Linked DNA regions of Daphnia pulex. The protein of the gene in region 1 purifies or fractionates together with the protein of each later gene. This does not show direct contact. Links are inferred from orthologs where the notes say so. Each region holds a gene or a part of one and is shown on either strand. Other genes may lie near its edges.

Region 1 (8,391 bases):
AATGTGTCACATTTCCTACCTAAACACCAACCCTAAAATTCAAATTTAATGGAATGATTCGATTTTACCGTAGAGGAACTTTGGCCAAAATCATCAATTACTCACGGCGTATTTAGTCGGATAATACATTATTGTACCTGCCACTCTCACCAGTCTAGGATTTCAAACCCACCCTCGAAAAAAATTGATGGTTACATTAATCACTATAAGAGAAAATTTCACTATTCGTTCGACGGAGAAAGAGAAAACGTTTGTTCCAATTTTCGCCACGCATTCCAGATTTACCGGCCTATGTAGTGGCAATTACTATTGTTTTCAAAAGACATTTCTCCGTCATAAAAACGTTTGGATATTTTTGGACTTTGTACGAGTGTAATTGGCAGTCATAACTTTTCTTACGAACCTACCTATCAATACTTTGGATCACGACGTTCTAAAATCGGTTTTCATTTTCCTATTCAAGTCAAATAATTTGTATGGAATGTTGCAATTATTGCCCAGACTAAAATGTTGCGGATTTCCGCGGACACATTTGATTGTGTTATTTAAATAACCTTTTTTTTTAACTTTACAAGAACCCCACGATTGCCATCCATAAACGCTGAATAATTTAAAAACCACCCCATATTCACGTCAATTAAATACTTCGTTCAAAGCTATTACCCTTACCAATAATTAGTCATTATTTTTTATGCAACGCAATTTTATTACCAATTATACATCCAACATGAAGTTTCAGTCACATTTTTCAAGTAGTCGGTTAGACACCACATCTGAAATTAAGGAAAAACTAATTAGACGTGGCAATCAAGTAAAACACTTACATGGCATATTTTGTAACGTCTCAGAGTAACTATGACAGAACATCAGAGGTAAGAAAGTAAAATACTAGAACAGTATCAAACTAATTTATCCAGCCTAGTGCAATCGAGTTGACATCATGGAGTATAACAAAGCAATAAGATGACAACACTGGTTATACCTTTCCAAGTTGGGAACCCTGAACTTTCGACGTAACGCAGCTTACAGATACCACCTGAAAACAAAGAATGATAATTTTTTATCATACCAGTTTAATAAAAGACTTATAACTCATTAAAAACGTAATCAGTAAATGACAAGATGTCTTATGCATCAAGATATCAGATGACACGCACGAATGAACATCATTTTAAACCGAAACACCTAAGGAAACGGAATCAAATTACTTACTTTCCAGACTGGAGCTCGAGTAGTGTGTAGTACCATAGTTACATCAACCTGCTGAAGAAATTGTCCTTCATTAATAAGTGAACAATTATACAAGTATTTTATATCAATATTTAAGCATCAGATAACGATTGGTGGTCTATTTTGTCGTCATACAATCATAAGTAAATTTATTATGGAATATTTACCATTAATTATGATGCATCACATGGGAGTAATCCTTAACTTGCTCAAATACGAAATCGAGGTCAAAGCCCTGGAGTAACAAGCCTCAATACCTACAGAAAATTGAAAAATTATTAAATTAAGGAAAACTAAAACATAATGATAATTCTTGAAGCCATTTCAGATTTGCAAAATTTATCTTCCTCAACATCAGATGACCTATGCTAGTGAATCATCATAAAACCCCACGGCACACCAATTTTAGAACCAACATTACCTAAATTGCAGATAAAAAAAGACTGCAATCAGGGCTGCAACCAAGTTACAGCAAGAGGATATCTGCGAGGAAAACTTCATTAACATGATTTCATTTGCAAACAGTGATAGTTACAAATTAAAAATTTCATTTAGAGCTAATACATGATTCCTCCATGATATTTCAGGATATATTTTAAATCATTATGGTTGGACACAAAAAAGGGGTGTTCAACCCAACTCACCTCCAAATCGGTACCATGGCTCTACACAGTGGGTAAACAGTGATAGGTGATAGAGGTGTGCAATCACGACCTGAAACAAATTTAAAATATATTAAAATGGGAAATAGGCCAATGATTGTAACACAAAGCTAGAACTGATCATCAGATAGGAGCGAAAGACTATAATGCAAAATGTCTTCACTAGCATTAAGATTAAATTTTATCATCACGAATACTAGTATATAATATAGCCAACTTTAAAATTTTCACCTACATTTTAAGAGTAGAAAATGCATGTAGACAAATCATTTTGTAGATTTTTTGGATACATTTCAAATTTACGACACCAACCACGCGACCACGCTGTTTTCTCAAAAATCTGTAGAACCAGAAGGTAAATTTACCGTAAATTTTATCACATAGAATTTAATGTAGATAAAACAAAATTTGAATGTAATAACCAATATTATGAAACAAAGCCAAATACCAGAAATATTTTTGAACATAAATTTAAATTTGACCAAATAAACTACTTACCAAGGCAGAAGGCAGTGAGAGTGAGAATGGATCATAAAAAAATTTTCTGAGCAGAAGAAAATTCTATTTCTACCCTTCCCACAATCCCACCCCAACCCCATATCATTTACAGCGGTGGCAAATTTTCAAAATCTTGCTTAAATTACATTTAATTTTTTAATAAAAATTTGTTAAAATATAATTTACCGCTGATTGGTTGATTGCCATCAGTAAATGAAACTCGAACTCTATCACATGACAAGCTTTAAATCAATTATTGGCGCAAAAAAATTCTGAGACTTATTTGGCCGATATCGATTCCGCGGTTCCGCCGGATTCCGCCTCGTCCGATTGGCTTCCGCAGGTTTTTAACCTATGTTCTATACATTTGCGACCTTTCATATTTAAGTAAATGGCACAATAACATAATATTTATTTCTGCACGGCAGTATGAATGGAATCTAAATGCATGTTTGAATTATAAGATTTTTGTCCGTTCTAAAGGTACAGGCTATAATCTCAAACTAGTCGTGAAACTCGTATGTCTTATCTTTAACAGCCGTTCTTTCCTTTCTGCAGAATTGAAGGAAAAGATCATCACAATAAGTCAATGACGCAATCGCCCACCAACCAACGTCCGCATCGCAATTCCATAACACTTTCTCTGTACCTTTTTTTATTATTATTAACGTATAACTGACAGTTACGAGACCTGGGGGTTGGACTAACAGCTCCATAACAAGCACGTCGAATAACCAAAAGATTAAATTAATTGAAATTCACCAATCACTCGATTTTATTATCTTTTCCTTTGCCAATCATTATTTTTTTTTGATCAATCAATACATGGTCATGGGAGCTGGTGCACCAAAGAATAATTTCCAAGACGCTGGGAATTTCCAGCCCGGGGCATCATTGGCCATTGGTACGAAGTTTAGCCACCGGTTGAAATGACCCGTCACCAGCAAAACTCCCGGTATATTGTCACCCTCGGCGCAAAATATAAGAAGAGTTACCAGAGGGACATTCATTTCGCCACTGCAGAATAAAAGGGAAAACTTCAGTTATAAAACGTAATCGAAACGGATTGAATAAACACGTCTACCATAATTTATTCAGAAGACTAGTATATCCTCCACCGGGGAAGAAAAGGATATCTTCATTGCCTTCCTTCCAAACCGAACGTCGGGTCTCCAGGGCAGGCCACTGCAGAGTCCTATAGTTCAATCAATACTTTTAGAATACAATTATTGATCTTGATTTTATCTCTCCGCAATTTACTTTAATTCGTTTTCAATAGACGAGTTGACAGCTGAAGTCACAGTGTAGCGGAATGGAGATCCGGTGAGTTGGGAATCAACTCGTTCGTAGTTGTGGAGGCTGGACAGCAGAATAGTCTTGACAAAAGCGCATTTCTTGATCCAGTCCACTAACTGGGACAAGAAATCGGCACAAAATTCCTTTTGGGAGTAATAAATGAATTAGCTGGTTAAAACCTTTACATTAATAATAATTTCAATGAGTTACCTTAATCAAAAGACCACGAATCTGTAGAATAACCAGTTTCTTTTCTTTGCTGATGTATACTGAAATTTTAGCGAAAATTAGATGCCATTCAGTCAAAAATTTAATATCAATTAAATTACATTCTGCTGCTGTCATGAGGCCTTGTTCCCGTATTTCATCATAAGGATCACTGCCAACTACGGGTACGAATACGGGGTGATCCAATTTGGCTAGCTTGTCACAGTGCAGGGAGCTGATGAGCAAGTCCACCGAGAGCTGGCCGATGTTGCCGACTGAAACGGCCGGCTGAAAAATCAGAAAACCAATTTAATGATGCAATAAAATCCAAAAAATACTCAAACTATGAAATTCAATTAGAAAAAAGACGAAAAAAGATGTAGGTGTGACTTTATTGGCTGGGCTACTGAAAGGCGCCTACTCACGGGCGCGATCCCACTACTGCCCGACACGGGAACTTTTGGCTGCTCGGTTTCCCTCCTGGCCCGATTCGCTCCTCCTTAGATAACCTGGATCTGCCGGATTACTCCAACCGATCCATGTTGATGCCAAGCTTAGTGCGGACACCTGTTCAACGCAAGCGACGATCCAGCAGGACTCCCAGCCTCAAGCCATCCACTACACCAAGCCTCCCAGAAGCAGGATTACAGGTACGCGCCACATACCCAGCTGAGAGACTAGCACTTTTGGAGCATGTCATTTGGGTGACGGGTTTGAAAGGAATAATTTTTCACGAATCATTCACTACGTTTGACTAGCAAGTTTGTATGCGGAAATTTTAGTTTACTTTACGCATTTAGTGAAATTGAGTTAAGTTGTACTTTTGACAGTTCTCTTATCACAATTCTAATAATGGCCGCCAGGTGGCTCCTTTTTTCAAACTCGATTTTTACTTCAAAAATAATAATTCTTTCCAGTTATTCAAGTCTATCGATTAAGAAAATAACATTGTTGTTCCCTGAATGCAATTTACCCACTAAAAATTTAAGTCAATGTCGTAACTGCTTTGACATGAATCACTCGTCTTTCCAATACGCAATTCCCCTGTTCGAATTTTTCGGCCGAGTTCGAGATCTGCCTTTAATCAATCCACCTTGCACGAAATTACCAATATGAAGGTGTAATCTTGAAGTGAAGACCATTCCAGTGATTTATTCTTCAGAAAGACAAACATTTTCTTGACCACGGATTGCAAACGTGTTAAACTTGGTAAACTTGAAAGCCACAAATGACTGGCGGAATCTTTGCAAAAAGCGTCTGCTGTATTTTTACCGACGTCACCCCAGTTTCAATTTCCACCGCTAGGTGGCTTATAACTCAATTAATCTCTCCCGTAGTTGCCTTGTTGATACGACATTTGCGTGAATGGGGTATAACTGAATAACTGAATGATCGGGTTCAGCGAGTTTCTAGTCGGTTGAAGAAGGAATTTCTAAAATTACAGCAATTAAACAAACATAATTCTCTCTCCTAGCGACTTTCCTCCCTCCTTGGAATAAGTGGGTGGGTGGTCATAAAAAAAAAGAAATAAATTTGGAAAAAAAATAAAAAAATAAACTAAAAATGAAATCCACCTGTCATGTCATCACGGTCTCTGCCCTCCTCCTCCTCCTCCCACAATTGTATTGTTGGGTAAAAACAGAACATGTAGGTTAGGGTTCCTCTCTCTCATTCTCCCTTCAAAAACAAAATGAAATATTACCCCCCGACACAATGAGATAAGAATTTTCCGTTTTTCTCTTTTTATTTTTCAGTCCCATTTACCAATGACAAAGCAAAATAGTTCAAATGATTTTGTGAAAGATTTTTATGCGCCTAAACTTGCAAAAATTCCCCAAAACAAATTTCTCCGCGCTGCAACGACTTTGCGGTTCACGTGAAATTCAACCGACGATGAGAAACGGAGCGCGGGCTGATTTTAAAAAAGACGAAATAATCTCGTGAGCAACCAGCGCGCTCAGCGATCAATCAAAAAAGATTTCGCTGCATCTCAGCAGCCCTGCTAATAATAATATTATGGCTAACCATATGTAGGGTACGGCGCTTGTGTATAATGAGGTGAATCTTCCACCGCAATGTGATGAGGTACGATACTGAGCTCATCTGCCGACCGCTATCCGGCCGGCATTTTTCCTATATATACCGTGGCGTGTGCAACAACATCAAAAAGATGAAATATGTCGGTTATCCGACGTGCTCTGCTGATCCATCCCATTTGGCTCCCCTCGCAACTGACAGTTAGATATACTACCCACTGCCTATGTGTACACGTGAATGACTGTTGTTACGTTTTTAAAACCTCCCAGCAGCACAGCAGCAGGTAAATCTTCTCTTCAACCAACTCCAGTTTCCGTGTCGTCCTACTTCTTTGGCGTCCAATTCCTATCGTCTCATTGTGCTCTTAAGATGTCCGCAACAACAACAACATTACTGTGATGCCCTCCTCCTCCATCTCGGGTGGTTGAACTTGGCTAATCCGAGTCGCGAAAAAAAAAAATACCGACGGAAATAACCGTTGGATGTTGTGTACAGATCATAGATATATATTTCCTCATCCGCGCGGAATGATCCGCATGACGGAACACTTTTTAAAATTTTTTTAACCGATGAAAAATTTTCCCGACAGTTTGAAGAAGAGACTGTCCGTTAAAATCATCACTTTTCTTCCCACTATATCTAATACGATGGCTGGGAGGTAGAGAAAAACAAAAATCACCAAAACAAAATTACGTGTGTAAAAAAGTGAATTTGTTTGAGAAGAAAATCAACAACTTTTTTTTCAGTGTGGCCATTTGACCATGAAATTTTCTTTTTCTTTTTTTTTTACGTTTTTCCCATTCAACGTGTGTGTGAGACTTTTGATGGTCAAACAAACATTACACACCGGTGCCGGGAGAATTGAAAAAAATTCGTGATTATTACGTGGGGCCGCTCCCATCTTTTCTTCACGCACCACCACAGTTCAGCAGCTCGCCCAAGTCCTTACGTCACTCTAATGATGGATCGCGCCTTGTAAAAACATTCTGATGATCGTGATATTATAAAAAAGAAATATTAAAAGGGAATAATTCTCCCTTTCCTTCTGGATTATTGCCACTTCCCGTGACTGCCGACCGAAAAAATACCGCACCCAAGGCGAAATAAAAATAATAAAAAGAACGTTATTAACTTGGGTATTGTATGGAAAATGGGAAGGAGTTTGGCTGGGCAATGAAAATTGGGCGGAAATTAGCCAGACGTCACCTAACCCAAACGAGAAGGAATTAAAAACATATGAAACATTTTTCTTATTTTGGTTATAGAAGTGTATAAGCTGACCAGTTGGTGGGTGGGTGGGGCGCCAGCTCCTTCTGAGAGATGTTTAAATTCAAGTATGGAACTCGCCTCCAGGTGTTGCTGTTAACGCGGTGGAGGCCTCCTATTGGACGTAATAATAATAAAAAAACCAAAAAACCGCATCCACCCGAAATTGCAACTTTTCTGTCTTATCAAAAGAAAAATGCGCGGTTCTTTTAAAAAAAGGAAAAAAAAAATCATTTGATAACCCAATCAATCACGCAAATATTTATAACAAAAAATAAAAAGATCTATAGACTTTCACGGGTAATTTACACCCCGGACAATGTTTGCCCCCCCCCCCCCCCCAAAAGAAAAACTGTTTTCTCATCTCGTTAAAAGGCAACATCAAAGCGAACGTTACGTGCATTATTATCATCAAATCCCGAAAGAATCATTTCTTCATCTTTATTTCCAGGTGAGCAATTTTTTCTTATGCGGCTCGTGACGACTGCACGACACACACACAAAAAAAAGGTCTGCTCATCGTATTATGTCATCTGAATAATAGCAAATGGGACAGCCAACAGCCAACAACAACAACAACAACAACGGCACCCAATTGTTAGCCAAATAAACCGTCACCCAGATTCGGTAATTGTTTGTCGGGAGTAACCCAGCCGGGAAGTAGATACACCGGTACATACACATTGTGCGAGCTCATAGATATATCGCATAGACCGTGTGATTGTCTATATTTCGGTGTGTGTGTTCTACCATCTCATCTCCAAGCCAAATGGCCTTAGCTATATAGGAGCTATTCAAATTATTGAATGCTCCTAGAAGAAAAAAAAAAAACAACTTCCTTCCCTACCTCTTCCACCACCAGGTAAAAATGCAACGGAGAATTTGGTCCCACACTCCAATGGCGGGCGGCGCAAAAAGGAGAAGAAGAAGAAGAACCGAATAAGAAGAAGAAGAAGAAGAAGGAAGGAAGGTATACTAGACATTACATAGGTCGATGACTTGAGCAGGGAAAAGGGTAGGGACATGAATTCTGCCAGAGGGAAGAACACACACAAAATGTGTACGGCGGCGGCGGCCATCTTCTTCGCCCGTTTTTATACCTGGAAAAGAAAAGAAAAGAAAAGAATAAGAACTTGGTGGGAAATGTGTACAAGAAAAGGCGAAGGAATTCTTTTACCAAAGACAAGGTAAAGCC
Region 2 (5,824 bases), on another chromosome or scaffold:
TGTTTGTGTGCGTGTGTGTACATATGTTCAGTGAAATGACAAAAAAATTCGAAATGTGGCAAAAAATGGAGTTGAATCACGCAGTGCGGCTGCAATGATGTAATGACGATGTGTGTGTACATAGCCAAACGCGAGTTATAACCCTACCCCCCTTAATTTCGTGTATTTATTATTATGCACTCCTTATTTCGATAATTTCTCATTGGATTCCGCCCGACAATATTTGGCTATTCAAAACAAAAAGGATGAACGAAAAACAAATTTAACACTCGGGACGCAACATTCGTATCCTGGCCACACTCACACACTTTTGGCAATTACGTTTCTTATATATATACATATATATAGGGAATGGAAAAAAAAACCCAATTCGTTTCATTTCTTTCGCCCTATTTCTTTTTCAAGCCTCTGCCCGCCTATTATTGAGCGTGGTTGTGCTGTGCATGTCACTTGTAAGAGAAAAAACGGCACAAATTCGTTGGTTGCAACGTTAAAATAAATAAAATGAATATCACGTACATTTATGGATTCGACTTCTTTTATTTTATTTTTTTTTCTTTTTGTTTGAAACGAAAAAAAAGGTGTGGGGTTCAATATGTTTGGATTTAAGCCGTGTCCATGCTTTCTTCGCCAACTGGACGCACGACAGTGGATTCGATTTCGATGGGGATGACCCGAGTTGAGAGGGTAGCCGTGCACCCGCGAGGATAACGGTACGAGCCTTGGCGTTCACCTTTAACGTTGGCCACTTCAAACGGTCGAATCATTTCAGCTTTCTCGCGAGTAATGATACACAAGTCGACGTGACTGCCAGACATCAAATCGTTGAAGATACCACCGCAAATGGCGTTCCTCATCAGCACTTTGGCTTCAGCCAATTCCATGTCGGGCTTCCAACCCGATTCCAAGAAAGCCATAGCGGCCAACGAACCGGAACCCATTGCTACGAAAGGCAAAGAGTCAGTTGAACCGTGTGGGTAAATGCAGCAGACATGGGGTCCTGAACTGTCAATGCCTCCGAGAACCAAAGCAGCTCCAATGTGTCCCTATATTCAAATAAAATAGTGGTACTACTCTTTCACTTTATACAACCAACATCACAATACCTGGTAACGGAAAAGCATCTGCTTGAGCAAGCGATTGGCTGTTGCAACCTTAACCTGACGTCCAGTGTTCAGACGATGGAGTTCTAACTGGGAAGACATCTGCAAAGTAGTCATCTCCAGATCAGCTGCAGTTCCAGCACCAGCGCAACTAATAGTAAAATTATTTCATTATTACTTTTGTTGACCTGTTAAGTAAGCCTGTTATGATTTAACACAAATACACATACTAAATGTTGGGTGCCATGTAGTGAAGTTTGAAGCAGTTTTTGTCTGCAACAATATTTCCCTCTGTGGCCCTTGTGTCGGCACCAAGAATGACTCCATCCTTGAAAATAAAACCAGCAATGGTTGTTCCTGTTTTGACAGCTTTGGGTGCTGGAAAGCCTTGGTTGGACATGAAATTGTTTCTGGATTGGGAAACAGTTGTAATTGTGACATTTTAGGTTTCATACAAATTTATAACGATTGAGTAAAACGTACCTTTGACAATTTTCAAAAGAAAATCCTCCTTTCGGAATATTTACCACCTTTGTAGACGCCATGACGATATGTTCGAAAAATTGATGCTTCTTGCTTCGGCAACAGAAGTCGGCTCACTCAAAATTGTCGACTGGTTCACAAATGTGAGAATCATCACAGTGTTGTCTATTCTGGAAATTTGGTTTTACGCAATGTAAAATGTCCTATGATTTGTAAATTGTATTCGTAAATCGTAAATCGTGATTCATTAAGCAGGAAATAATTTAATCGCACTTAATTTTAAAATTAATCTTGATTATTGATTAAGAGTTGGATGTGTGAGCTGGTGTGAGTGCAGCTGCATTAGCCACTATATTAACGCTACAATTTATTAATTTTGCGCGTCATATCCAATAGCCTATACAGTTTCTTGGTATTATTGTTATTGATTATTGAAGGCACTACTCGCCCTAACAATTATTAGAGAGTCGTCTAAAATATGTGTCTTATTTTCTAACCTTAGGCCTACTACAACGGATTTGAATTGCCTTTAAAATATACAACACTTTTCCAATGGTTCTCAGAATCTCAATCACTTGTAGCTTTAGTACATTGTTTCAAGTCTCAGACTTCCTCAATTTAAAAAGTAAATAGAGAAAGTGCATTTAAAAATTTGTATTGATGACTAAGAGAGAACTCATTCAACTGGTCTGATGGTAATGTATCTGGAACCTATGTAGGCAACCAAAATAGTACCAGCAACAAAAATCACCACAAACATGTAAAAGCTTTCTTCATCAAAAAGATCATTGAAAGCTGGAACTTGAGAGTAGAGGTTTTCAATCATCTTCATAGAGCCAGGATCCCTTCCTGGGAACTTTCGTTCATTCATTTTCTAGTTGGTTTAGATTTTCCTCCTGCTTTTCCTCCTGCCTTTCCTGCTGCACCCGCAGCAATTTTACCAGCTATTTTTCCTACTTCTTCTTCCTTTGGCAGTAAAGGTACCACAATTTTGTTAAACTGTTGGAGGACTTCAAGGGTATTAAGATTTTCTGTTTTGAACAAAAGATTCTTGCCTATATCTGAGAAAATACATTAGGAAGGTTTCACTGATGTGTTATAAATAAACACTATTTACCAAGTGTGACTGATATTGTTGGTTCACAGTTATCTGCTATTTCTGTCTTGACGATGCAACGAGGATTGGTGTTCACAACTTTTGCTGAAGAGAGAAGGAACATGCAATCTCTAAAACAGAAAAGTAAAAAATACAGATATAAATTTTCTGGCGATGTAGTCAACTTTAGTAAATACAGTACCTTATGGTCTTTACGTTTGGTCGGAAAGGATCAAATTTGAATACTACTTGCTTTACAGGTTTCAAACTAACACTTTTCAGTTGCTTTCCAATAGCTGAATAAATCCCAGCAGATCTAGTGAATCCTCCAGAAAATGGAATAGACATGGCAGATCAAGAAAGAAAATAGTTTACTAGAGTGAAATTCTCAGAGCATGCGTAATGGGAAGTGATCAACAGAAGAAGCAGACGAAAACACGCAAGTAGCGTCGACTGCTTCGTTGTGCCGTGCCGTTGTGCGTCAAGTCATTCACGTGTCAGTGTCACCCTCTTACTAGTACTAGGTAATATTATTGTTTAAAATGTAGTCAGTTATAATTAATATATTGAATTTGCTTGTAGGATGGCAGCTATTACACAATTTAACTGTGATCCACAATTCTGTCCACGTTGCGGTGCCATATTACCTATCTTGGGAACCGCGGGTGGAGTCATGTGTATTGTTTGCAAGTTCGAGATAGATATCCAAGTCATGGAAGAAGTTCGAGTGGATTACAACATTGATTTCAATAAAAGAAGTGACTACATTGAAGAACAACAGTTGAAGTCTGCCCAGAGCAAAACTGATGGCCCACTTGTAGAGCGCAAGTGCAGCAAGTGTGGGAATGAAACCATGTCTTATGCATCACTTCAGTTGCGGTCTGCTGATGAAGGCCAAACCATTTTCTACACCTGCACCAAGTGCCAACACAAAGAAACCGAAAACTCTTGAGAAACTCATTGTATTGAAAATATATATCACTTAATGGTAATAAAATTTGAACTTGAATGGGAGTTGCACTTGAAAATGAAGGAGTGGTTTGGAAATCAATTAAAAATTTCTTGATTGGGTGTTTATGTTGTACATTTGATTAATTTTTGAATTATTGTTATAGAATGCTGCTTCTGGCCTTAAAGTGAACAATTGTGGGTGTCCCTGATTACTAAAAGATAGCCATATTTATATTAAGAATAATATATGTACGTTACCTCAAATTGTTAGCTTTATGACTAGAGGTTATTGCACATCGTCGCAATTCAGCAGTAACATGAGATGCTGCATCGCTATGGAATTTGAGATTGATGTCTTGTGAGTTCTTCAGTACTTGGTAAGCATCCGGTCTCTTATCAGGTCTTGGATGGACGCATGTCTCTACCATTTGCCGAAGCTGTAAATCAAATGAAATATCTGTCGCGACTATTTAGTTAATGATTAATATAACCTCTTGACTATAGTGAGCAGAAGGAATGGGCGGATATTCACACCTCTCAATCTTCTGGCAGAGGGAAAATAAGTTTATCTTTTCTCCGTAAAAAGGTGATTGAAGAGCTGCCATCTGGCAAAATTCGAATCTTGTCAGTAAAAATAAAAGGAACAGGTTAAGTTATAAATTTACTAGTACCTCATATAGAAGACAGCCCAGCGACCATATATCTGACTTGAAATCATAGCCTGTCTGCTTTAATCTTTCAGGACTCATGTAGTAAGGAGTTCCAACTAGTGAGTGTGCGGCCAATGTTTTCGAGCTAAAGAAACGACTCAAACCCAAATCACCAAGTTTAATAATTCCGTTAGCTGTCATAAACACATTTGCAGGCTTGATGTCTGAAAGAAAAATAGCCGAATGAACAGAATGTTTAAACGCGAGTCTAGCGTAGTTGATGCACACCTCGATGCATGACTCGTTTACTGTGCATATGTTCCAAAGCACTGCAAAGTTGTACAAAGTAGCGCCAAATTGTTTTTTCACCCAAGAGTCGACGCTGTCTCTGGCAGTGTCTCAGTAATTGGGCTAGATCACCTGCATCAGCTAGTTCCAAAACGATTTGAAGTTCTTTGTTCTCCACGAAAGAGTGAATGTAACACACGACATTTGGATGGTTTAATTGCTTTTGTATGCGTTACAAAATTGAAATAAGATGGAACGGACGTCCTCACATTAATTTTTGTCATCAAAATTGAAAAGAAATATTTAAAAAAGAAAAAAAGAAAGTAGTGTACTTGCAAAAGCTGAATTTCTTTCATACAATCGTTACGTGCTTTTAGATCGGTCATTTCGTAGAGCTGTACTTTTTTCAACGCTACCATTGTATTACTGAGTTTACAGTGTGCGCGATACACCACGCTAAATTGTCCTTTGCCGATGTGTTGTCCAATTTCGAAATCTGATAATTTTACCGAAGAATAGTCGCACTCACTCAACACATTGGTCGCCATTACGAACTTTAAAAAATTAGCGCCAAAAAGACTTAAACAAAAACTTGAACCTTGTTTTATACCGACCCGGCGGTGAATGGCAATTGACAATTGACAATGACGTTACGTTAGTTTCCCTTTAAAGAGCTTTAGATATTTTGGTATCGATTACTAACCTCCCCCTTCTTAGGAAAAAAATGTTCCAATTTTACTAATCTCACGAAAAGAAATTACAGAGCGCAGGATCGTTGTAACTTACTGAAAATATCTAACAAATGATGAAGTCAAGATATCTTATATGAATTTTAGAGAAAATTAAATAGTAAAAATTTTCTAACAAGATCAACATGATTTTATCCCTGATTTGGTCATTTTGAATTACCAAAAATGATGAATCCTTAAATTTTTTTTCCGATACGTCGATACGCCCGTTATAAATACGATTTTGCAACGCCGCACCCGATTCTTAAGCTGTCACTTTGGCTTTTTGGAGTGTTATTAGTTTCGTTATCCTTTGCATTGCCGTGTGTACTGTGTAGTCCGTACTCGGGCAGTTTGATTGCAAATATTTTTATTCTTTCCTTTCCTTGGTAAAAATGTCCTCGGCAGCTTCTCAGCCAACTCCGGAAGCCCCCCAACCCGAAGAAGTTCCTTGGTGGTTGAAATATGCCGGAAGAGGAATGGGTACCTTTGGAGGAATCGGTGAGTATTGCCATTCCAGATGAC

The links. The genes of interacting proteins can lie anywhere in the genome.
Region 2: the proteins of proteasome assembly chaperone 2-like (region 1) and proteasome subunit beta type-7-like purify together in Homo sapiens (affinity purification with mass spectrometry; 3 studies listed by BioGRID and IntAct, counting the BioPlex papers as one, with this or other methods). This does not show direct contact. The link is inferred for Daphnia pulex from reciprocal best matches to the Homo sapiens genes PSMG2 and PSMB7.

The regions. Positions count from the first base shown.
Region 1 is NC_060026.1:15,319,443-15,327,833, reverse strand, and holds proteasome assembly chaperone 2-like, read right to left. Parts: upstream 5,161-8,391; 5' UTR 5,068-5,160; coding exon 5,002-5,067; intron 4,182-5,001; coding exon 4,016-4,181; intron 3,956-4,015; coding exon 3,897-3,955; intron 3,830-3,896; coding exon 3,651-3,829; intron 3,586-3,650; coding exon 3,475-3,585; intron 3,408-3,474; coding exon 3,209-3,407; 3' UTR 3,148-3,208; downstream 1-3,147. UniProt on the Homo sapiens protein: Chaperone protein which promotes assembly of the 20S proteasome as part of a heterodimer with PSMG1.
Region 2 is NC_060019.1:7,368,834-7,374,657, reverse strand, and holds proteasome subunit beta type-7-like, read right to left. Parts: upstream 1,753-5,824; 5' UTR 1,649-1,752; coding exon 1,587-1,648; intron 1,514-1,586; coding exon 1,334-1,513; intron 1,255-1,333; coding exon 1,107-1,254; intron 1,047-1,106; coding exon 606-1,046; 3' UTR 521-605; downstream 1-520. Other genes in the region: 39S ribosomal protein L53, mitochondrial-like, read right to left, coding at 2,454-2,647, 2,704-2,813, 2,885-3,030; serine/threonine-protein kinase Nek7-like, read right to left, coding at 3,734-3,845, 3,892-4,070, 4,125-4,238, 4,305-4,507, 4,572-4,791, 4,904-5,119; calcium channel flower-like, read left to right, coding at 5,695-5,800. UniProt on the Homo sapiens protein: Component of the 20S core proteasome complex involved in the proteolytic degradation of most intracellular proteins. This complex plays numerous essential roles within the cell by associating with different regulatory particles.